5 linked regions of the Mus musculus genome follow. The protein of the gene in region 2 interacts with the protein of the main gene of each other region in a pairwise test. Links are inferred from orthologs where the notes say so. Each region holds a gene or a part of one and is shown on either strand. Other genes may lie near its edges. The genes, in order: Pex11b, Pex19, Pex10, Pex16 and Pex12.

Region 1 (4,865 bases), on a different chromosome or scaffold from region 2:
AACTCCACACTGCTGGAATTGCAAGAATGTGTCAGTATGCCTGGTTCTTGGTTTTGTTTTCTTAACATGGGTTCTGGGAAATCAAACTCAGGTCTTCATGCTTATAGAAGAACTGTGTTATCTCAGTCCTATGGGACCCCGACCCCATTATCGCAAAAGAAAAAGAAGCTAGACATGGTATCACATGCCTGTAATGCTGTCCTAGAACCCGGGCACCTAAAGCAGGAGAATCCTAAGTTTCAGGCAAGACTGGGCTACATAGTGGGACCTACCTAAAAACAAAACAAAACAACAAACAACAAAAACACCACACAAGATGACTCAGCAGGAAAAAGGCATTGTCACCAAATGTGATGACCTGAGTTCAATCTTGAGATCTAAGTGGTGGAAGGAGAGAACCAACCCTTTCAAAGTGTCCTCCATACAGAGTGGTAATGCCACATCCCTCAGAGAAACCCTGTCTTGAAAAATTAAAAAAACAACAAAAAAAGTAAACAAATAATTTACAGTCAGTTCATCCATGGAGGATCAACTTCAGGATCTTTCCCCCTGCTCGCCCATCCAATTCTACCCAAACCCACAGCTGCTCAAGTCCCTTAGATAAAGTGGTATTGCATCTATACATACTCCACACAATTCTCTGTATCCACCTCGATTGTTTATAATATTTCATACAATATATGTGCAATGTTTAAGGAATAACGACACAAACAATTTTCATGTTTAATTCAGATGCACTTTCCCCTCAACATTTCCAGCCTGTGGTTGCTTGAATCAGCAGATGTGGGAACAATGGGCGTGAAAAGTCATTGTACACTCAAAAAAAAAAAAAAAATCCTGAGACCCCTCTGTCTCATATATAGCAGGTTATGGACCAGGAGGATGGAAGTGGAGCTGGGCCAGGAGGTGGAAGCTCTTGCCACGCAAACCTAATGGCTTGAGTTTTATTCTCAACCTGAGTTTGATACCTGGAACTCACAGTAGGAGAAAACCAGCAACTGAAAGCTGTTGTCTGACCTACAGATGTGCAGCACCTACAATAGTAACTTTTATTAATGTAAATATATGGGTCTAGAGTGATGGTTTAGTGGTTAAAAGCACTGGCTGCTCTTCCCTGGGACCTGGGTTTTGATTCCCAGAGCCCACATGACAGCTCACAACCATCTAGAACTACAATTCTGATGCCCTCTTTTGGCCTCTGCCAGCACCAGGCACACAAATGGTACACAGGCATGCAGGCAAAATACCCATATGTGTAAAGCAAAATGTTTACTATTACAAGCGATGCAAGCTTTGCAAGCTTTGCAGAATGAAGGCTACACATAGTCTTGTAGGATAAAAGGAAAACCAACCTGAATGAACGCTGTGCCCACTTTTCCTGGTCCACTCGGGGAGCTAGCCCAGACTTTCCAGCCCATAGGACATTGTCACAGGCAAAGTACAAGGCTCGGTTGAGGTGACTGACAGTGATGCAGAATCTCAGAACGACATCTGACAGGTGCACAGCCCTTTTGGCTGACTCCAGGGCATCTGTTGAGTTCCCCAGGCGTAGCACTTGTAGAGATTAACAAGGGAAAGCAAGGGTTTGAAGTCCAGAGGCAGGGGTGGGGGTGGGGAAGAGAAAAATAAAAGTTGAGCAAGCAATAATAACATACAGGAAGAAAGAGTAAAAATAATTTGTTCTTTTTCTTAACTTCCAATCGTAATTCATTTTTGTGCCAGTTTAGTGTTCTCGTGCCGTGTTTTTCCAATCAGTGCTAACTTCCTTATACCTGTTCTCTGACCTCAACTGGAGGCATGCAGGAGAGTGGCAAATGATGGCGAACTGGCAGAACGGGAGGAGAGGCCATGGGCTACCAGCTGAGGATGATAAGAGGAAGGTCTGCTTTACTTACACTTTCGTCCGAGGCTCAGATGACCCTCCAGTTGTCGAATCTGTTTCTGTAACTCGGGACTAGCCCCATGTCTCTGCAAAGCATGGCCGAGAAGGGAACAGGCATACTGGGCGGCCCTGGAGGGGAGGACACGTAGAGTAAGGGACAGGCCTCCCTAACCCCTCTGCCAACCATATCCTCCGTGGGCTGGTGAGGCGGTTAAGAGCACTTGCTCTTGCAGGGGACCCGGGTTCCACTCCCAGCACCCACACGGTGGCTCATAACTGTCTGTAACTCTAGTTCCAGGGATCCACCACTCTCTTCTGTCCTTTGCAGGCACTAGACACACATGTGGTACACATACATTCTTGCAGACCAAACACTCAGACAAATAATAATTGGTAAACAAAAACCCCACCAGGGACACTTCCTCGGTTTCACACCAATATCTTTCCATTTTTTTCCTCAAAGCCAGGGGAAGGGAAAGACATGCGAGGAAAATAAAGCCTAGAAGATGGTGGAGAGCACTCTTTGGAGTTAAGAGACTAAGAGTTTTGAAAATGATGAGGCCTAAAGTTTAGGGCCAGTAAGCAGCCCGGGGTTCATCGCAGACGTCCACACTGCGATTTTATACATGAAACACGACAGAGGAAGATCTAGTTGAAGGGCAGATTAGTTCTCCGGGTAGGTAAACTAAGAGATAGATTAAGGTTCTTGGACTGATGGAAACCGAAGAAGAGCCGAGATAGCGAGGCTCCTAGGTCACAACTGGTGAGAGGACGCAGAACCGAGAGGATCGCCCCTCGTGCCACCACAGCAGCGAGGAAACTGTTGCTCTCTGTGGACACAGTAAACCTAGGTGGCCTCCCCGCTGGCCCACTCATGCCTCAGTTTCCCCATCTTTCCCTTGAGCAGGGAAGAATCATCTCACAACCGGCTGCGGAGTACGCCTCCGGGGCCGCGCGGGCCCCCGTAGCCACAGCTGACCCTTAGGGACCCCGTAGCGCGCCCGTCGCCTCGCGGGACCCTGCTCTGCCCTCCCGCCCGCGCTCCTCCGTCGGCCGCACCTACACAGCCGCTCCCGGGCTTGGCTCTGAGCACTGAAGCGGACCCAGGCGTCCATGACAGCGGCAGCCCGGGCCCACGGCGCAGCGGCCCGCCTGCTTCCAGCCCCAAGTCACGCCTCCTGGGCGAGCAACGGGGCTTCGCGAGGGACAAACGGCGGCAGGAAAGCCAAGCAGCCGGAGCCGGCCTTGAAGTGGAATTTCAGGACGCGAAGCGAGATCGTGGGTGCATTTCCGGCAGCTCACCCTTCTCTGGGATGGTCTCCGGCTTTTAAGCACGCCCCTAGGAGCACATTCTGCTTTAAATTCTCAGCAGCAAGGGGTGGGGCCTGCGGGAGCCAGGAGGCGCTGTAGGTTGCCGCCAAGGCGCACACGCCACCCGCCCCAAACGCCCAGAACAGCAGAAGCCTGTCCTAGACTATTTGTCCTAGGGAAAGCGGATGTAATGAGATGCCGCTTGACAACGATGGTCTGCTATACTCAAAGATTGGTGCCTAGCCCAATTGTCATCAGAGAGGCTTCACACAGCAACTGGTAGAAACAAAGGCACAGACCCACAGCCAAAAGTTAGGCAGACCTTGGAGAATTTTGCATAAGACAAGGGGAAGGACTGTACAAGAAAATGCACAGAGTCAAGTAAACTGGGCCCATAGGGGCTCAGACTGAACTGCTACAGGGAGCCTGCATGAGACTGCTTCGCACATGCTATAGTTGTGTAGTTTGGTCTTCTTGTGGGACTTCTAACAGCGGGAACAGGGGCTGTCTCTGATTCTGCGGGACCCTTTCCTCCTGCTGTGTTGCCTCATGAAAGACTTAATCAAAGAAGGTGCCTAGTCTTACTGCAACTTAATATACCATGCTGTTGATACCTAACGGAGACCTGCCTTCTTCTGAAGAGAAATGAAGTGGATGGGGAGAGGCAGTAGGGGGGTAAACTCCAGGGGATCCAACACCCTTCTCAAACCTCAGCAGGTACCAGGCATGAACATGGTACACAAGGAAAACACTTTTACACCTTTACACATTATTTAAAAAAAAAAAAAAAAAAAAAAGCGAAGCCGGGCATGGTGGCACCCGCCTTTAATCCCAACACTTGGGAGGCAGAGGCAGGCAAATTTCTGAATTTGAGACCAGCCTGGTCTACAGAGTGAGTTCCAGGACAGCCAGAACTGCACAGAGAAACCCTGTCTTGAAAAACAAAACAAAAACAAACAAACAAAAAAAACTTGCCTGTAGCAGCAATAGCCTGACTATAGTTGTGAGGAGGAAAAAAACCAAAACAACAAAAAACCTACAATATCACAAACAAGATCTCTACAACCACTATAAAAAGAAATCTAGGGCTGGAGTTGGCTCTGCTGCTTTTCTACTGGCTGCTTTTCCAGAAGACAGATTGAATCCCCCATCCACATAGCAGCTCACAGCATCTGTAACTTCTGTTCCAGACGCTCTGGAGCCCTGTTCTAATCTTCTCAGGCACCAGGAACACAGATAGTATATAAACATACATGCAGGCAAAAACCTCATTAGATATTTAAACCAAAACCACTGTGTAGTGGTGGTGCATGCCTTTGATACCAGCCTTGGGAGGAAGAGGCAGGTAGATCTTTCTTTGTGAGTTCCAGACCAGCCTGGAGAAAGAAAGTGGGGTGGGGGTGAGGGAGGAGTCTGGAGAGATGGCTCAGTGGTTAAGGGTACAGTCTGCTCTTCCAGCTCACAACTGTTTCTAACTCCAATATATCTGACATCCTCACTTTACTTTTTTTGTTTTTTTTCGAGACAGGGTTTCTCTGTATAGCCCCGGCTGTCCTGGAACTCACTTTGTAGACCAAGCTGGCCTTGAACTCAGAAATCTGCCTGCCTCTGCCTCCTCTGAGTGCTGGGATTAAAGGCGTGTACCAGCCAAAATTTGAAAATTTTATGGTAT
Region 2 (4,889 bases):
CAGGCCCCCTCCCCACCCAGCATCTGTTTTGTGAGACTGCTTAGGAAGCACTGAGAGCGGCCTCCCCTCACTCCTTCCCCCTTACCTGCAGCTCAGTGGCGTTTTTGGCCAGGCCACTTAACGTCTCCTTTAGGCAAGAAGTAAACTCTTGCTGAGAACTTGCATCGCTGCCTGGGAGACAAAAGACCCAGGGTTAGCTAGGATCCTCACTGTCAGCTTGTCTACACCCATCTAGTTACCAGCCTGGATGGAGAGCATTTACTAGCAAGCTACTACCACTTCCAAATCTTAGTTGTTCTGTAGTTACCTTCACGGGCATGCCATGAATCTATATTGGTACTGTGTTAGCTGTTCTCCACAGTAACACTCCTTTAAAAGGGTTGCTTTGGGAGAATCGTATTGATTTGTGAGGATTTGTGAGGTACGGTCTCACTCTGTAGTTCCAGCTGTTGTAAAACTCACCATGCAGATCATGTTGGCCTCAAACTCATAGAGATTCGTCTACCTCTGCTTCTGATGTGCTGGGATTGAATAAGCCACTACACCTGGCTGGAATAATCTTTTTTCATTACTTTCCAAAATATCTTACCTTTTTCCTTTTAGTAAGCTAGATTCCCACAGCTCTTTCTCTTGCCTTACACCCCCCCACCCCCAGCCATGGCTGTGACATCATGATGGTCATCAATTTTACAATCCTGGTACTCTCAATCAGTTAAGAGGCCTGTCCAGTATTATGTTTGGGGTTTCCTCACCCACTCTCCCAGCTGCCTCTGAGAGCTTCTGGAACTGCTCCACCAGATGGGGCTCTTCCTCAGCCAGCTCCTTCATTGCCTTCTCAAACTCCGCAGTAGCTTGGGAAGCCAGCTCACTGTCAAACAGTTCCTGGAAAAATTTCTCTTGGGAGGCGAAGAGAGCATCCTGCAAGGGTGGGGTGGGGTGGGGAGGGAGACAACATTTGCCTCCTATAGCATCACCCTGGGGCTAGCCGCTTAAACGAGCTCATATTGGGAAATGAAACATCTCCCCTCCCACGAGCACCTCCACTGAACATTCCATCTACCTCTTCTCCGGAGGGCAGCAAAGACTGGCCACTGAAGGTCTAATATGAGGTAGCATACAAAGCCAACCACTTAAAACCGCTCTTTCCTCTTTCCTCGTTAGCCCTCCGTAAAACCACAGGTCCTCGTTTCATAGGAACTGAGGCCTGGAAGAACACTCAGCAGTGTGAGGCAAAGGCACCCTCTCAGCCACCCCTCTGGCCCAGAGGGCCCCCCATCCCTGCTCTGAGCTGCATGGCCATCCTCCCTCTCCCTTAAGTGGGGGAATTGATACTTTGGCAGTATCTCCTGGCGCTCTCTTCTGGGGTCCTGAAGCGTCGGGAGCCGAGATGGTCGGAGCATGTTCTGGGGAGGGTTTGGCTTTGTCGAAATCATCAAGAGCACCTTCGGAGACAAGAGAAATCATCAAGAGCACCTTCGGAGACAAGAGACGGACGTGGTGGCGATGTTGAGGGTGGAAAGGGCTAGACAGCCGTGTGATTTGAAACAAACTCTTAGGAAAATAATGATACAAAGTGCTGGCTTTCCTGGACTTCTCTCTCTTTTTCTGGTGTCTCTTCTGCCTGGACTACTGGCCAATAGGCTTCCCACCTTCCTTGAGAACCATCTAGTTTGTTGTGACCAGTTGGGAAGGAAACCCTTTTACACAGAACCAGTGTTCATCTCAGAATTAGGAGGAGAGAATTAAATAAAAGCTGTGCAAAGAAATCTCTATATGCACACTATAAAATTCCCTTAAAAAAAAAAAAAAACCCTGCTGGGTCGTGGTGGCGCACGCCTTTAATCCCAGCACTCAGGAGGCAGAGGCAGGCAGATTTCTGAGTTCGAGGCCAGCCTGGTCTACAGAGTGAGTTCCAGGACAGCCAAGGCTACACAGAGAAACCCTGCCTTGAAAAACCAAACCAACCAACCAAACAAACAAAAACCTACACATTTCATCTAACATGAAGAAGAGGGGAGAGAGAGCCTTATTTCTTGGAATTCACTCTGAGGCCTTAGCTAATATCGTCTGTTGAGGAAGCACAGAATATACCACCCGGCTTTCCACCGTTCTGACTACTAGGATACATTCGACAAGAAGGTATTAACTCTTAAATAATGCTCCAATTTAGATCGCCCTTAACAGGCACCTATAGCCTCCTTGGCCTCATATGCAGTAAGCCTGGGCCAGGCCAGTCACTGGGCACTCCTCACTTCATCTGTTCATTTTCTACCTGCTTATATCGCTGTGACTGAGCAAGAGATAAAAGGTTCACCTCTGCCCTGAAAAGCCTGTGTTGTCACCATCACTCTGCCTGCCAGGACTAGGGAAAGGGCACTGGCCTCACTGGCGCAGGAAACGGGAGTGGAGTGCAAGGCCAAGAAAGAGATGAAGGTCCACCATCTTTTCAGGAAGAGGAGACCTTTTCCCCTGGGGCTGGCTCACTTTGTTTTCTCCAAAGGATAAATAAGGGATGTCAGGCATTGTGGTGCCATGCGAGAATGCGGAGGAAGGGACTGGAAAAATCACAAGTTCAGGGCCACTCTACAGTACTCAATGAGTGTGAGGTCAGCCTAAAACTACACGAGACAGTCTCTCAACATCACACTAATTTTAAAAGGAGACTTCTTTGACTACTCGCACGAAAGAACTAAGGGTCTGGTAAAAGAATGAGGAAAGACTGTGCGGTAAAAAGGCGTTTCGGGTTAAGAAAGATACTATCATGGACATATGGACCTTTGGAGCTTAAAGATTATTTTGTTCTGTGAATCCTGCTACTGAAAGGAGAGGCGATTTTAATAATTTACAGAAGGCGATCCTGGTGGGTCCAGCCTGTGATCTCTGTACTCCCAGTGGCGGAGGCTGAAAGACTGCCGCGAGTTCCAGATCAGCCTGGGATACCGAGTGAGAGAGCCTTGCCTCAACAACAATCCGACAATCGAAAGCAAGAGAAGTTTGTAAGGGGCTCGTGAAACAGCTCTTTACGGTTAGTGTTCCCCTTCGCAGGGAGATGTGCGGTTTGGACACAGCCAGCTAATAAAGAGGGCCGGGGTCGAACTCAGACCACCTCCCCCGCTGACCACTGAAGAGATTCTCCCGCCCCGCTCAGAAACCTCAAGTTCCTCTAACCCCCACGATGGATCCTCTCCCCGATACTTCTGGTCTTTCCCATCGTGCACTCTTACTTTCCAGAAGCTCCTCCAGTTCCCGGTCGTCTTCGACCCCAACACCGCAACCTTCCTCAGCAGCCGCCATCTTACTGCCTCCGACTTGCCGTAGGAGGTGGAACCACTGGCGCCACCACATGCCCCGCCCCAACCCCGCCCCCATGACTTGAGCAGCCAATAATATCGTTCTACCGTGCAGGACCGCCATTTTTAAAGGGACAGGAGACTGGGTTTGTTTTTGTTTTTGTTTTTTTTCTTGGGTTGGGCCTCAAACCTAGGTTCTTGCACGTATTAAGCAAGCACTCGGCTACTGGAGCTACAGAGCCACAGCGGTTTGCCTTGAACTAGATAGATTGCTCAAGCTGGTCCAGAAATCGGGGTCTCCCTTCCCCGTCTCCACTTCCAAACTACTTGACCCATGAGGCCCAGCTGTATTGTGGGGGCGGGTCAGAAGGGGTGGGAGGGTTTATTGCGTTTTGCTTGCCCCATCTTTAACCTGGAATCTTTAATCTGGGTTTTGTTTTCAGGCAGGGTTTTCTAATCCTACTGTCTCCACCTCCCAAGGACAGAGATTACAGCACAGGGCTCAGCTAAAATACGAAGCTATTAAACGAGCAATTTTTCGCTTGAGACAGGATTGCCAAATTGAAGCAACCTTGGTTTCATCCTCAAAGCACACGTGGTAGGAGAGATGTCTATCATGTGCTGGCTCTGACCTCCGAATATGCTCCTTGACATATACACAAAACAGATAAACAAAGATCATCCAATTTATTTTTAGCGTATAATGAGCATCTACTGTTGTATACAATCGTGCTGAGCACAGTGAAATCTACAAGTGGATCAGGGATGGTCCTACCTGTAGAGGTTGACTGGAGATAGAATTGGAAACACAGATGTTACTTAAGCAGATTAAAAAACAAGCATTCTTTCTTTGAATCATTTCTTTCAGTTTTCTTTGTGTGTTGGGGGGATTGTCTTGTTTTTGTTTTATCGAGAATGTTCTGTATGTAGCCTTGGCTTTCCTGGAACTCTGTAGACCAGGCTGGCCTTGAACGAAAAAAATACTCTTGACTCTGCCTCGAGGGTGGTGGCATTAAATGCGTGTACCACCACACCTGTCTCTCTTTTCTATTCAGCTGGCAAGAAGTGGCAAATCCCTTTGGAGCTAGAGCAATAGGTGGTTGGCAGCCACCAGATGTGGGTGCTGGGAACTAACCTGAGTCCTCTGCAAGAACAGTCTTTGCTCTAAACAGCTAAGCCATCTCTTTAACCACCATGATATCTTTTTTTTTTTTTTTTGAGACAGCATCTTGCTCTTTAGCCAATTGTTCTGCTTTAACCTTCCAAGAATCCGAATTATGGCTGTGAATTGCTGTGCCAGATTCTTGCCTGACCTTGAAGGAAGAATGTATAAAACTTAAGAAAATATTCCCGTAATATACACATTTTTGAGAAAGCAGTCTTAGTTTGAGGATTATATTTAAGAAAGCAACTCTTAAATCTGAAAACACTAAAGTCCTGTGCTCTTTGGAGCAGCTTTTCCTCCTCAGTCAGGCACACTCCCCCCCCCCCACACACACACACAATGTATGTTCCAGTTTACTCATTGCAGCAATGCTGATAATCAGCATAAATAACCCAGATACTATGAGGAAAACCTAAACACACAACACACATATA
Region 3 (4,651 bases), on a different chromosome or scaffold from region 2:
ACAGACCCAGGAGTCTGGATGGACCAGGCAAATGGATGAGGGTTCTAGAGCTGTCTGGGGACTACTTCAGGGGGAGGGAAGGAGCCCAAGGAAGAGTGGGGTGGAGAATAGCAAGGGGACCTGGACAGGTGGTTACTGTCCCTCTGATACTCTGGCCCTTAAGGATGCTGGTCTAGCCTCTGCTCTGGCTAGTGGTGTATCTGCCATACACATCACAACAAAACTATGCTGCCTTCCACTTCTGCCTTCCCACTGGCAGGGAAATGAAGACACCAGGTTACATCGTGCCTTGGGCTGGAACAGGAAAACTGCAAGCCCTACAGCAAAACCCAGTGCCCAGCATTCAGCAGCTACTGGGAAAGGAGGCACATCTGCTAAACTAGATGACTGCTTGGGCAGGTTTTGCTTTATCTGGCAGTATGGAAGGAAGTTAAGGCCTGAGACCAGACTATGGGTGTGTCTATAATAAGTGAGTGTGGGAGGAGCGCACTGGCTGGAGGGAGAGGGGAGAGGTGGCATTTGATCCCCTGACAGGTGAGGTAGGTGGTGAGGATGGAGGTGATACCAGGGCGAGGTCTTTGGTGTGACAGGATACAAGGGCACTGGTAGGAAACTAGGGTTGAGGCAGGGGACTGCCAGAGGCAACAACAAGGTCAGTATGGACTGTTGTGTGGCCAGCGCTGTGGTGAGGCGATGTACTCACTCTAGGACCAAACCCTCAGATCTTGCCTTTCTGTTAGGGCTCTGGATGGTGATGAACAGGGCCCTCTGCTGGCAGGGATGCATGGGAAGGCCAGCCTCTGGGCTAGAACCTGCACTCCACACACTTCTCCAAACAGTGAAATGGACACAGCCACAGGCCCTCTGCCGAGGCCAGACCTGGCCACTCAGTCACCCGCCCACGCACCCAAGTCTGCTGCCACCTTCAGTCTGTGGGAACTGGATTTCTTTTCCTTTTCCTGGGCTTTCTTGGAAAATAAAACTGAACTCCGCTCTTTCCCAAGTACAGAATTTCGATTGCAACTTGGAAGCAGAACACTTGGCTGCGATCATGTCAGCATGGGTCCCCAAGTATGCTGCTCAGAGGATCCCTGCCTGAATATCAGTCCCCTTGGCATGGCTACTTACATACGTGATCCCTGCTAGTCTCTTGGCCAGGTGGTAGAAGGTACCATGAATATAAAACCAAGCCACGTGGAGCCGATGGAGGCAGGCGAAGCCCTGTCTCAGGATGAAGACTGCCCGCTGGAGGGCCTTCCTCTGTTGTTCAGTCAGGGTGGCTGCGTGGTGACGCACCCAGCGCCGTGCCCCTGATCGGCTGCGTCCTCCAGGTAGCAGACTGCCCTGTGAAGCCCGGGGAGCATCGCCATCGGCTTGCAGCTCCTGCTCCAGGGGCAGCAGTGCCTTGTCTAGCAGGTAGGGCAAGACAGCATGCAGTGCAACCAGCGCTGCACGGCGGAGCCTGGAGGGCACACGCTGCTGGGATGGGTCCACTTGGATGATCCCAACGTACTCCTCCCCAAGGGTCTGGTAGCCTGAGGATTAATACACAGTGATGAGGGTCCAGGGACAAGTTTCCGGGCCAGCCTGTGTCGTCGTCCCCCCTCCAGCCTCACCAGTCACCCTGAGACCTAGCCAAGGCCAGCACAACTTCTTGTTAAACCCACTGTGGCCTTGCTGTGATTTCACCATGTCACAGAGACGGCCACTCTGGAATGGGCCTTGCATCTCCTGTTGGTTCCTACTCCCTTAAGTCTTTATTCTGTTTTCCAGTCCTTCCTCTGCTGAACTCATACCCCTGTCCAAGTGATGGGATCCGATCTTGTGGCTTTCTACCTTCTAGATGATGGCTGAGTCCTAAGTATCAGGCATACATACCACTGCTTACCTGACGCTGTCACATGGAGTCAGAATAAAAAGCCCCCAAGCCTACCCATGGCTTGCAGCTAGCTTCTAGTACTCCACCATGCAGACGATGAATCCTGACTTCCTGTTCCTGAGGCCAGCCCTGTGGAGTACCTTGTGATCTTTCCATGTGTCTCACCATGACCCTGCTCGTACCCTTCCCCCCACTCGATAGCCTCTTCCTTTTTATCTGCCTCGTACCCCATAAATGGAAAAGCCCATCCTGCTGAGAGAAAGTCTGGGGCAGTGAGTGCCCTCTGGCCAGTATCTTCCTTCCCGGAAACAGAGACTAATGCAGGTGATTTCCAGGAGCCTTCAAGCATCCCCTCCAGACCTGGGTGGGTTGTGGGCCCCTCAGTGCCCAGGACCTGCCGAGCACAGACAGCTACCTGCAATTGTGGTGAGGCCAAAGTAGGCTATGTCCGAGAGCAACTCGATCTCTTTCCTCCATTCCAGCCATTTCTTTGCACCTGAGAGAAGAAAAATATTAGCTCTAGAGAGGTGAAGTGGTTCTCTTAAGATGACTCCCAGCCGGGTAGTGGTGGCACACGCCTTTAATCCCAGCATTTGGGAGGCAGAGATTTCGAGTCCAGACTGACCAGAGTGAGTTCCAGGACAGCCAGGGCTACACAGAGAAACCCTGTCACTCCCGAAGGGCAGGTAAAGTCCAAGTCAAGTCACTCCTAAGACGACCCTCAACAACTCGTCTCTCCCTTCACCTCCTCTGCTGCCCTTGGTGACCGGAATGTCTCCGAGACGAAGACCGCCTCTTAAGAAGCCCCGACTGTAACTGTCTTGAGTCAGGTACTGTCCTAGAGACATGGAGCCCAGGAAAGTCTAGGTAGTGCTAACAACATAAGCCAGAGGCGACCTGTTTAGTATCAAACCTCGGCTCTCTGAAATCCCAAATCCCTGCCTGTGTGATCCACGTGTCTACCTATGAGAGTAATGACGTTAGGTCCACCCTGTAGGGGCGTCTGGAGAATAAATGGGCAAATGCTTGAGAAACACTAAAGCAGAGACCTGCAATGTGGTCAGCAGTGTGTACCTCTGTTTTGATCCCCGCTTTCCAAGCAAACTCTGGAGCTGCCGCCTGTCTGGGTGCCCGGAACGCTCACCCGCTAGGCTGTGCAGCGCTTCACCCGCCGCGCTCCGCAGGCCTCCCAGGTAGTACTCGTCCTTCTGCGCTGCCCGGATCACTTCAGGGGCACCCGCCCGCGCCATGGCCCGAATCGCAGAGCTCGCACCGCGCCTGCGCACCTCGTGGGCGGGGCCTGTGACGCTCGACGTGCGTCCGTCGTGGGGCTGAGGCTGCGAACACCACGCGGGCGAAGGCGGAGCCTAGGCGTGACATCTGTGGAGGCGGAGTAGTGGGCGTGTCCACGACATAGGGGTGGGGCTACCCGGGGAGGGGTGTGGTCTGTGCTTGGAGGGTGAAGCGGCACAGTGAAGTGGCGGGTAATGACAGGGAGGAGGTAGATACCTAGTGGGTAGGACCCCCGAGAAAGCTCAGCCTCGCAGATGTGTTTTTGGCCTGATTCAGGTTCAGTTTTCTGGCAGGAGGTACGTGTCTCTGGGCTGCAAAAGTGGATCTTTTGGGATAGCCACGTGATTCCAACGGACTGCTGAAGGCTCCAGTTGTTGGAGTTCCTCCCTGCCCATGCCCTGGTTTCTTCAGCTTGGGTTGGGCAATCCCAGATAGCACCTTTGACCACTGCTAGGAGGCAGTCACGGCTCATGCAGAGGCATGAACTTCTAGCCAAATCAAATGTGACAGTTTGAAATGTAGATTCTCTGAAGGCCCAAGGCCGCTTGTGCTGGAAGACTTTTCAAACTTGGAAGCTCATTTCTACCATAACCATGGGGTATGGCCTGTTCTAAGTGTCCCCGCCTGGACTGCTCCTTACACGCGACTGCTTTTTTGCATTCTCTTCTCTCAGCCATGGGGAACAAGACCAGAAACACTATTCAAGTATCTGTTGTTCTCAGGGATACGGCCTAAGTAAGCGTCTCTCTCCGTGGGCTTAAATCCTAGGCACAGCGGTGCCTTGATCCTCAAGTTCTTCCTTTGTGGGCTCTCAAGGATTCTTCCTATGGGACAAAACCCAAGATGGCCAGCAGGTGGAGCTATCAGCCCATCTTTTCTACTAGCTTGGGCTGCTAGAGCTTGTTAACCCAAACAGATCCTGCACAGATCAGGGAAACAAGAGGCTTTTCAGTGAGGAGAGAAAGTGGAAGGGCAAGATGAGTAGTGACATCATTGTAGATCAGTTCTCTGGATTCTCGGATGACCATGTGGCCTGGAGTCCCCCTTTGCTTCAGTGTTTCAGGGTTCCAGAACTCTGCGGTGGAGGTAGAGCGAGAGCTCTTGCTTACGGAAGGGGCATACGGCCCTTGCCACCTCCCACCCCTTGCCTTCTGAAGCACAAGGATCCTAAGACTGAGCCTTGTGACTTTCTCCTTGTAAACTCTTCCTCCTGCTTCAAGGATGGAGGACAGAAAGGCCAGGCTCCTGTTTCTCTGTGTAGCCCTGGATGTCCTGGAACTCACTTTGTAGACCAGGCTGGCCTCAAACTCAGAAATCTGCCTGTCTCTACCTCCCAAGTGCTGGGATTAAAGGTGTGAGCCACCACTGCCCAGCTCAACAACTAATTCTAAAGTCATACACGCTGTGGGTTTTGTTGTCCTGCCTGATGTCGTTTGCCAGCTCTGGCCACTCTGTTTTCTTTTTTTTTTTTTTTTTCTT
Region 4 (4,192 bases), on a different chromosome or scaffold from region 2:
CAGTTATGGTCACAGATTTCCTCTGATCATCGGGACCTGCGGGGCTGGAACTATGCCTTGCATGGCATTGAATAACCACTACAGTGCAAGCACCCAGAGGACACCTGTCAGGCTAAGCAGAGGGTCACAGGTTCCAAAGCCAACAAACGGACAAACTGTCCTTCCCACTACCCTGGCTCACAGCAGGCATCTATGGCTCTCAGAATCATGTGACAAGCATGTCAGGTTAAGGCTGAGACTATGAGGGCATCTTGGATGAGGGGAGACCTGAGGGACAGGTGCAGGCAGTGTTCTCCAAAGGCCATTGGCAGCACTTCTGGGAACAGTCCACACAAGGACAGGAGGGAGGGAGGGAGGTGTGACAGCTTAGCCCTATGGTCCCACAATGAGACTGCCATTGAGTTTGAAGCCCACAAGTCTCTTGTCTAAAAGGGAAGGGCAGAAGAAGAGAGGAAAGGACAGGGAGTATGGACAGAAGAGTTGAGGCCCACGCAGTCCTGCCACACCCTCCTCTGTCTTCTCCAAGTAGCCTGCATGGCTCCAGCAATCTGTCTTCCTGAGCCAGTCAGCCTGTGGAGAAGTGTCCTGGAGAGAAACTCCAGCACACACCCAAACTCTGCCCATTCCCTTACAGACTCAGGGTCACTCTATCTCCTGCGGTAGAGAAGAGCATCTCCTAGGGCTTGCTGGTCAGCCCTGCAGGGGAAAGGATAAACGGGGGCCCTGGCTACAAGGAATGTTAGGTAGACTACGGTAATCCATGGCCCAGTTCAGCTTGTCTTCACCAGGGACTAGTGAGATGGAAGCATCTAGTCAGGCAGCTGAGGCAAACGGTGACCCATGCCGGAGAAGGCTAAGTGACAGCAGCTCCCTGGGCCTGATGGAGATCTCCTGCTCTGTGACGAGGAGCAGAATGCAGTGGCTTCCTTCTAGGAGGATGTGAAGAGGAACAGCTGTGGTGACTGGGCTGAAGAGCTGAGCTGCAGGAGAGGAGCTGCTGATGACACAGAGCCACATGCTGGACACTACCAGAGTCAGGTTTATTAGAGAAGAGGGGCCTGGGGGAACTGGAGGGCTGAGGGGCCCTGCCCAGAGCAGCAGAGCACAGCACATGGCCCTCTGCCCCAGCTCCCTCATGGCTGTCAGCCCCAACTGTAGAAATAGATTTTCTGCCAGGAGGGCAAGTAGTCCATGAGCGGCCCTGCAATGGAGGGAAGGGGGATGGGGGGCGGGGTTAGAGGAGCCAGGCCCCTGGCCCCAGGCCCTGCAATGGAGGGAAGCGGGGTTAGAGGAGCCAGGCCCCTGGCCCTGCCCTGTGCCCTGTTCTGACACTGCCACCAGCAGAGCAGCTCGAGACCACACCTCCTGCCTCTGATGCTATGTTAGAGATTAGGTCACAGACAAGGTGCCCAGGTTGCCAGGGAACATGCTCAGCATGTCTTCCTTTATGGCTGGGTACCCAGGCAAGCCCCAAGGCCCCTCCTTGCCTTACCAGATAAGTCTGCCTCCAAATATGCAGGTCCCAAAGGCAGGAGGAGGCTTGCCAACCTGATATGGCCTAATAATCCAACACAGGCACTGTTCTGGCCACAGCCCCACCTCCATGGGCCACCTTCGGCCCTGGCACTGTCACCTCCCAGTACTGATTTCAGGTTCACTCCTGACTGCCCATTAATCACACCAAAAAAGGACAGAGCAAACATTAAAACGGGCCCTTTGTGCCTCAGGGACATCCCACACCACGTTGTCCTACCACACTTACTTGCCACCAGACCCACGCCAGGGATGTGGTCTGTAAGCAGCTGGAGCAGGAAGAGGATCTTGGCTCTGATTGGGGAAAAGAACAGCATGCTGAGGGGCAGGCGGGGCGGCTCCCTGCTGACCAGGAGCTAAAGGCCTTTACTGAGCACCAGGCATCTCAGAAAACAAGGGACTAGGACCCAACGAAAGGCTAGACCACCGGAAGTCTGCTTGTCCACAGCTGCACCCCATGTTCCCAGCTGTCAGATTGTCAGCTGGCAGACGTCACTCATACCCCTCCCCTCCTCTCTTTTCTACCTTCCTACCATTGGTATTCAACAACAGTGCTTCCTAGGGGCCACTCAGAGCAAGGTCTGTACCCTGGAAGTTTCCGGAGGGAAGGAAGCTGGTGAAAGAGCAGAACTACACAGAAACCTCACCAGCCAATGCTCAGAGTAGGCGGGGTCTGGGAAGGTCCCCTCTGCCTCAGAGAGAGGCTTAAGATAGGGGATTTCCACAGGAGAACTTGGGGCGGGTTGGAGATGTGGTTCATGTGCTTAGCATTGAGGCCTGCGGCTTGAACCCCAGCAGTCCTCGGGGGGACAAGACCTAACATCACGTCATTATATATCAAGCACAGGCAAACACATTCGGTTACCGCATGCTATAAAACCTATCAGCCGGGCCCCAACACTGTCCCTGTTTACAGGCGAGGACATGAGCCCAGCTCCTGCTCAGACACCCCACCATATGTCATAGTGCCCTGGCAGGCCTTTTTCAGAGATTTCTCTGGCTAATGCAGGGGCTCTGATCCTCAAAGTTGATCAGTGTTGGGTGGGCCCAGCAGTAACAGTCTAGTGGAGGCCTGCTTAGTTGCCCAGCCCCTTTGAAGCATAGCGCCTGCTCTGCGAAGTGGATGTCCCATGGAGAAAAGAACTGGAGAGGGGCAGTCTGCACCAACTGTGCCCTGCAGATCTTGTACCCTGCTGTCAGCAGTCTCTCAACACCAAGTATGAAAATTCACACTGGCCTGTCCCCTTTGAGGGCAGGCCATGTGGCTCTGGAGGCTAAATAGCACCAGAGCCAGCAGTTACTCAGCAGACCCCAGCCCTCTCCATGCAGCACGGAATACCCTGGTGATGGGAGGAAGGCTATCCTTACTCAGAGAAGCGGTCATAGAACGGTGAGCGTAGCAGGTAGTATAGCAGCAGGATTGTGCGACGCCTCAGTTCTAGCCGCTCCCTCCGGGTCAAGTTCTTCCTGTCACTCAGGAGACTCAGGCTGTAGGGGAAGGGACATAGGGACAAGGATGACCTATGACTCTGAGAAAGAAAAAGCCACACAGCAAGCAGAGAGCCCCATGGAACTCCATATCCTCACCCATTCTCACCTAGTCATATCTACCACACCAGACAGTAGCCAGGGTGTCCACGATCGCTGACCCCATAAGCCCAGGCTGAGCACTGACGGTCAAGATGTCAAGGATATCTGCAGTGCAGGGTCCAGCTCAGCTCCTCCCCAGCCCGCCACCAGCACAGCTAAGGATACAGTGCAGCAGGGGCCGGGCGATGTACAAAGACTCTGCAATGGTCTCCTGCAACCCCAGAGGTGTTGGGGGTGTGCTCAGTTCCTCCTGCTGCTGTTTCTGCCGAATTTCCCGCTGCTGAGGGGCTCCCCAGTACCGTGAGTGCAGGGATGGGCCTAGAATATAAAGACAAGGTCAGTGAGCCAGGAGCCAGAGTGGGTGCTGACAGAAGCCAGTCCTACGGGCTCACACTGACCTCAGCACCTAGGTGCCCAGTCCAGCTACATCTTCCACTTACTGTTCTGGAGGGTTCGCACCACTCTGTGTGACCGTTTCCCCACATATGATGGCTCCTGGCTGCCCGGATTGTGGTCACCATCTAGCAGGCATAAACAGGACATAATGTAAGAGGGACACATTCCTAGCAGAGCCTGCAGAGAACATGTGTACAGTGAATGCTTGAGGATCTACAGAGCACAAGAGCCTGGCCTCAGGCAGCAGCTGAACTAAGGGAATCACACCCAGAGACCGTGGTTTGGCAAAAATCTTTCCATAGAGGGAAGCACTCTGGCACCTACCCTGGCCCAGGAAGAGGCCATCCTCACGCACAGTCAGTCAACCAAGAGCCTAAAGATACTAAAGGAAGGATAGGAGGGCCCACCCCATCAACATCTGTCGGGGCTATAGGACTGTGAGGCTGCATTCTCTCGATCTCTTGTGGTCAAGTTCACATCACTGTCCCCTTTCAAAATAAGGGGGAAGACTGGAGGCTGACGGAGGGGCCCAGAGCAGCCAGGTGCCCTGCCTCTTGAGGATACGGTTCATGATACAGAACCAGGCCCAAGACAATTTTGGCAGGACACCTACCTTGTGCTGGTGCGCTATCCCTAGTTCCTGTAGCCTACAACAGAAAAGAAGGACTCTTGC
Region 5 (4,709 bases), on a different chromosome or scaffold from region 2:
CACTGTTGTCTGCCATACTAAAACCGTCTCATGGCCTTAGAGTATAGAACTTGAGTGGTGAGATAATGCACTAAGCTCTTTCAGTTCTCTGGAGAGTAGAGTTTAATTAGATGCTGGACTTCTGTTGGATACCCTGTAATGGGACAGGCTTGGTGACTCCTCACATAATTAAACACACAGCGGTAACAGAATACATAGCCAGAGGTGGCAAGAACCGTATCATTCACTCGAGTTTTACGACAGAGTGGGCACACTGTTTTCATTTTGGGTAAGAGGGGAGAATCAGAGTTGTAGTCTAGGTGTACAGGTGGTGGTGGAGTGGGCAGGGCAGTCAGTGATTTGATGGCTTCTTGGTTCTCAGAAGAGTACCACCAGTCAAGAAACTGCAGGAAGAATACACCCACAGAGAGGCCAGTCGAGAGGGATAAGGCAACACCTCCCACAGCTTTCTTCAGAGCTGACTTTATCTTCTCACCAACGCTGTTGGGAAAGGAGAGCAAGAGGCAAAGAAAAGAGTTTATTTGTATGTGGTCACAGAGTAATGTCTATAGGTGCAGTTCCACACTTGATGTGCTGGAGGGTCTGTTGTAAGCCAGTGTATATCTAAACTCTGGTGTTCTGGTTTTTAAAAGATTTATGTTTGTGTCTGCTTGTTTGTACACACACCAAATGCATGCAGGTGCCGTTTGGGCCAGGTGACCTAAAGTTATAGGCAGTTGTAAACTGCCACATATGGGTTCTGGGGGTTGATCTCTGTTCCTCTGGAAGAGCAGTACATGCCATTTACATAACCACGGTGCCATTTCTCCTGCTGTACCCCAAACTTCTTTGTTTGTTTGTTTTTGTTTTTCGAGACAGGGTTTCTGTGTGTAGCCCTGGCCGTCCTGGAACTCACTTTGTAGACCAGGCTGGTCTGGAACTCAGAAATCCGCCTGCCTCTGCCTCCCAAGTGCTGGGATTAAAGGTGTGTGCCACCACTGCCCGGCCCCCAAGCTGTTTTTAACAACAGAAACTTAGGTTTTGATTTGAGAAAGGCATCAGATACTTAACTTTAGAGAATTTTTAAATGGAAGATAGATAATCCATCCAGAAGAAGCAGTTTACCTAAAAAGTAACTTATCAACACTGGGATGCATACATGTTGAACTTGTGAGAGAATTAACACTCCACAAAGGTAATGTTGCATCCTTGGTAAGAAGTCTTTAGAATTAATTATATCGCTTTGCCTTGAATCTTTGCTCTGCCATCTTCTGGCTAGTGGTTCCCTCAACTGTTAAATGAAGCCACTGCATTTAATTCAGGTTGTGATGAGGCATAAGATAACACAAAGCAAATACCACGCATGGGGCTCTTACATACACCAAGCATGCACAAAGGTGTGCCTATTATGAGAGAGGTCACCAGGATGGTGGCCCATGCTTTATGGATGTGAGGAATAACTTCTGTGACTTAATAGCTAGGGTAGACCGGATGATTGGTACAAATTTTCAAATTTTGTTAATAAAGGGGTTTTAGGAATGGCCTTACCTTCTGACGGGCTCCTGCATTGCACTGGCTTCAACCAGTCTCTGTTTGATAGCTTGCATGTCCTGAGCTGTCAGTCGAGCTAACCGAACTCCAGCCAGTTTCAGCAGGGGAGAGTGATGCTCAGCTTTCCCCAAGATGTAACGCAGTTGTTGTGTAAGAAACCAGCCTTCCCAGGCCATGTTAACAAAAGGGTAGGCCGCCAGAAAGGCTCTGTAGAATCGTTTCCAGCGAGAAGAAGGGGGGTGAATAGAGTATTCGTCTTCTTCTCTCAAGCTAGAAGCCAGCTTCTCTAGCTTCACTTTCAGATAGGGAAGAAGGACAAGGAACATGGCAGATTTCCAGAGGTGTTCCTTGGGAAGACCAGCACTGGCCGGTCTCTGAAGATGCGGCGAGCTCCCTGCCACAATCCGCTTTAAGCCATAAAAGTGTTCAGAAAATGAGGCACTAGTTCTAGAAAGATAATGCTGCTGGAGCAGGAAGTCTAGCAGAGTGAAGATTTCATCAAACCACCGCCAGAGGAAGCCATAGTGCGCAGGATTTGATTCTGCAAGAACCTGATGCAAAAACATTTTATTACAGTCTTCAGTTTGTATTCACATCAGCCTTTTCCTTTTAAATTCAATACACCTGGCTTAAGTAATTGGCTTTTGGGGTATAGTCTGAGTTCCTGAGGTCATAGGAATGGAGTACAGAGCTCTTTGAATGGATGCCCATTAAGTCCTGGATACAAATGACACATGGCGATCATTGCAAACTTAGGGTTACTAGTAAAATGTTTGGAGTTTTATCCAGTCGTCCCTGAAACGATTCAGAGAAGTAATACCTTACCTTGACCACATGCTGAAGAGCGGGTCTCACTGCTGTCATTAAACTGTCCTGTGCTACCACCTCAAAGATGGATGGCTGGTCGTCCGCCACTGAAGCAGTTGTGATGTGAGCCCCATACTCAGCCATTGTGTCTTGTGTGAACTGGGATTCACTTTTCCCACGAACACTCTAGTGAGCATGAACTTGTTTTTGTATCAAACGGGTGCTGAGTCTTAGTCCTTCTGCATGGCACCTGAAACTAAAAATTGAATTTTACAGGAGTGAAAAATCAACGGGGGTGGGTGGGGGGAGCTTATATGGAGGCGGAGGAGAGGGAGTCTCAAAGTAAGGACTGTTAACTCCGGAGCTGGGGACGTGGCACGTGGGGTCTGGGGAATGACTTGTCAAATGCTGCACCTCACAGGGCAGAGCGTGACTCGGAGGCGGGGAGTGGGCCAAGAAACGTGTCGCTCGAACCGCAGTCCGGGAGCTGCGAGGCCCGGCTCCGGCGGCTGCCTGAGAAGCGCCCGTCCTTGCTTGCTGACCTCGGGCACGGAGCAGAGGACCCGTGACGCCACCTGCGAAAGGAGGTCTCGGCTTTGTGACCGAAACCGTACCCGGAAACAGAAGCTCCGAGGACCTCCACACGGCGGGCGGAAGACAGGCGCTCTAGCATCGAATGTAGCCCTGAGCCGGAACTCGGGAACTCTATGACCAACTGGGACTTCCGTTTCCGCCCCCCTGACGACGAGGCGACGGGTTAGTGCAGTGAGTGCATTCTGTTCCTGGTTAGCTCTGAGCGAAGCTTCCTGGAGGGCGGTACTCGAGCCTCTGTGCCGAGCTGGGGTCCCTGCCTGACGCCGGTTGCCATGGGAGATCAAGCCAGGTCCTTTCTGCCAGGTGGTGCTTAGCTCAAAGTCGGCCACCTTCCCGAGTGTTAGTCAGTTATCAGCAAGTTTTACTAAAATGACAAAAGATTCATTCTTGCCTACCAGAATTTAGGACGGCTACTTTTTTACTTACTTACAGACAGCTTAACTTGTCATCCATGTGTAAAATTAAGTTATAGCTCTAGGCACATTCTGCTAGATGAAATTGATTCCTGCCCTCCAGCTCAGTAGGTATTAGCAGTATTAGCAGCGCAGGGATCGTTATGATTCTCGAACTGAATAGTAGCATTCAGCTCTAGAGGACCTTAGGGTATAAAAGTGGGCAATTGGTTTGTATAATGAGAACCTTATAAAGGGATTGGTTTTAGTTTCAATTTAAATTTTGAAGTTTTTTTATAGTTCTAAAGTATGATCCATACTTCACTAAAGTCACTGTCAGAAGTGCAATTGTTGAATTTCTAAAAAGTATTAAAGATTTTTGTTTTAAATAATGTTTGTTTCAGCTTAAAAGTTTTTTTGATTTTTGGTTTTTTTTTTCGAGACAGGGTTTCTCTGTGTAGCCCTTGGCTGATCTGGAACTCACTCTGTAGACCAGGCTGATCTCGAACTCAGAAATCCGCCTGCCTCTGCCTCCCGAGTGCTGGGATTAAAGGCATGCGCCACCAACGCCCGGCTTCAGCTTAAGAGTCTTAAGGTTTATGTACATATCCTTGGCTAGCATTCAAGTTGGCTTTCGTGCTCAGCCTTGAGTTTTAAGGACCCGAGAACTACATAAAGCATCTGGTAAATATCGCATGCTAACCAATGGGGTCTTAATTTTAAAAAGATTTTTAGGTTGTACTAGTATTTGCTGGCACATATATGTATGTGCCACATGCAGCCTGGTAACTGCAAAGGTCAAAAAAGTATGTTTGATTCTCTGGAACTGGAGTTACAGACCATGTGTGTGCTGGGAACCAAAGTCAGGTCCTCTGCGAGAGCAACCAGTGCTGTTAACCACTGAGCCATCTCTCCAGCCCACCAAGCCACCTCTCCAGCCCACTGAGCCACCTCTCCAGCCCACTGAGCCATCTCTCCAGCCCACTGAGCCACCTCTCCAGCCCACTGAGCCACCTCTCCAGCCCACTGAGCCATCTCTCCAGCCCACTGAGCATCTCTCTAGCTGTTTATGCTTTTAAGTGAATAGCAAAAACACACAGCTAAGAAATAGCTAAAACAGGTAGAAAATGAAACATTTGCATCAATTAAGGTTTTTAGTTGCAAAGAACAGAAGCAGGCTATTTTAAAACAAAAGGAACTTAAACTCTAGGTGGGAAGGCTGGAGAGATGATGGGCAGGTGAGAGCACTTGTTGCTCTTGCAGAGGGCCTGAGTTCAGTTTTCAGCACCCACATTCAGAGGCTCACAATTAACTGTAAGCCCAGCTCCAGGGATACAGTGCTCTCTCTGGTCTCCTGAGGTACCGACACATACTTGTACAGATGCA

The links.
Region 1: the proteins of Pex19 (region 2) and Pex11b interact in binary tests that used the Homo sapiens proteins (3 or more experiments, as listed by UniProt). The link is inferred for Mus musculus from reciprocal best matches to the Homo sapiens genes PEX19 and PEX11B.
Region 3: the proteins of Pex19 (region 2) and Pex10 interact in a two-hybrid assay, tested with the Homo sapiens proteins (4 studies listed by BioGRID and IntAct, with this or other methods). The link is inferred for Mus musculus from reciprocal best matches to the Homo sapiens genes PEX19 and PEX10.
Region 4: the proteins of Pex19 (region 2) and Pex16 interact in binary tests that used the Homo sapiens proteins (3 or more experiments, as listed by UniProt). The link is inferred for Mus musculus from reciprocal best matches to the Homo sapiens genes PEX19 and PEX16.
Region 5: the proteins of Pex19 (region 2) and Pex12 interact in a two-hybrid assay, tested with the Homo sapiens proteins (4 studies listed by BioGRID and IntAct, with this or other methods). The link is inferred for Mus musculus from reciprocal best matches to the Homo sapiens genes PEX19 and PEX12.

The regions. Positions count from the first base shown.
Region 1 is NC_000069.6:96,633,820-96,638,684, reverse strand, and holds the start of Pex11b (peroxisomal membrane protein 11B), read right to left. Parts: upstream 3,256-4,865; 5' UTR 2,998-3,255; coding exon 2,942-2,997; intron 2,839-2,941; exon of another isoform or gene 2,775-2,838; coding exon of another isoform or gene 2,761-2,774; intron 2,012-2,760; coding exon 1,896-2,011; intron 1,555-1,895; coding exon 1,353-1,554; intron 1-1,352. UniProt on the Homo sapiens protein: Involved in peroxisomal proliferation. May regulate peroxisome division by recruiting the dynamin-related GTPase DNM1L to the peroxisomal membrane. Promotes membrane protrusion and elongation on the peroxisomal surface.
Region 2 is NC_000067.6:172,125,184-172,130,072, reverse strand, and holds the start of Pex19 (peroxisomal biogenesis factor 19), read right to left. Parts: upstream 3,319-4,889; 5' UTR 3,295-3,318; coding exon 3,225-3,294; intron 1,443-3,224; coding exon 1,333-1,442; intron 919-1,332; coding exon 753-918; intron 172-752; coding exon 86-171; intron 1-85. UniProt on the Homo sapiens protein: Necessary for early peroxisomal biogenesis. Acts both as a cytosolic chaperone and as an import receptor for peroxisomal membrane proteins (PMPs).
Region 3 is NC_000070.6:155,065,547-155,070,197, reverse strand, and holds the start of Pex10 (peroxisome biogenesis factor 10), read right to left. Parts: upstream 3,169-4,651; 5' UTR 3,130-3,168; coding exon 3,024-3,129; intron 2,376-3,023; coding exon 2,295-2,375; intron 1,536-2,294; coding exon 1,129-1,535; intron 1-1,128.
Region 4 is NC_000068.7:92,378,045-92,382,236, reverse strand, and holds the end of Pex16 (peroxisomal biogenesis factor 16), read right to left. Parts: intron 3,645-4,192; coding exon 3,564-3,644; intron 3,442-3,563; coding exon 3,289-3,441; intron 3,204-3,288; coding exon 3,131-3,203; intron 3,022-3,130; coding exon 2,902-3,021; intron 1,828-2,901; coding exon 1,763-1,827; intron 1,202-1,762; coding exon 1,143-1,201; 3' UTR 1,017-1,142; downstream 1-1,016. UniProt on the Homo sapiens protein: Required for peroxisome membrane biogenesis. May play a role in early stages of peroxisome assembly. Can recruit other peroxisomal proteins, such as PEX3 and PMP34, to de novo peroxisomes derived from the endoplasmic reticulum (ER).
Region 5 is NC_000077.6:83,295,961-83,300,669, forward strand, and holds the start of Pex12 (peroxisome assembly protein 12), read right to left. Parts: upstream 3,018-4,709; 5' UTR 2,752-3,017; intron 2,594-2,751; 5' UTR 2,482-2,593; coding exon 2,356-2,481; intron 2,082-2,355; coding exon 1,528-2,081; intron 481-1,527; coding exon 81-480; 3' UTR 1-80. UniProt on the Homo sapiens protein: Component of a retrotranslocation channel required for peroxisome organization by mediating export of the PEX5 receptor from peroxisomes to the cytosol, thereby promoting PEX5 recycling.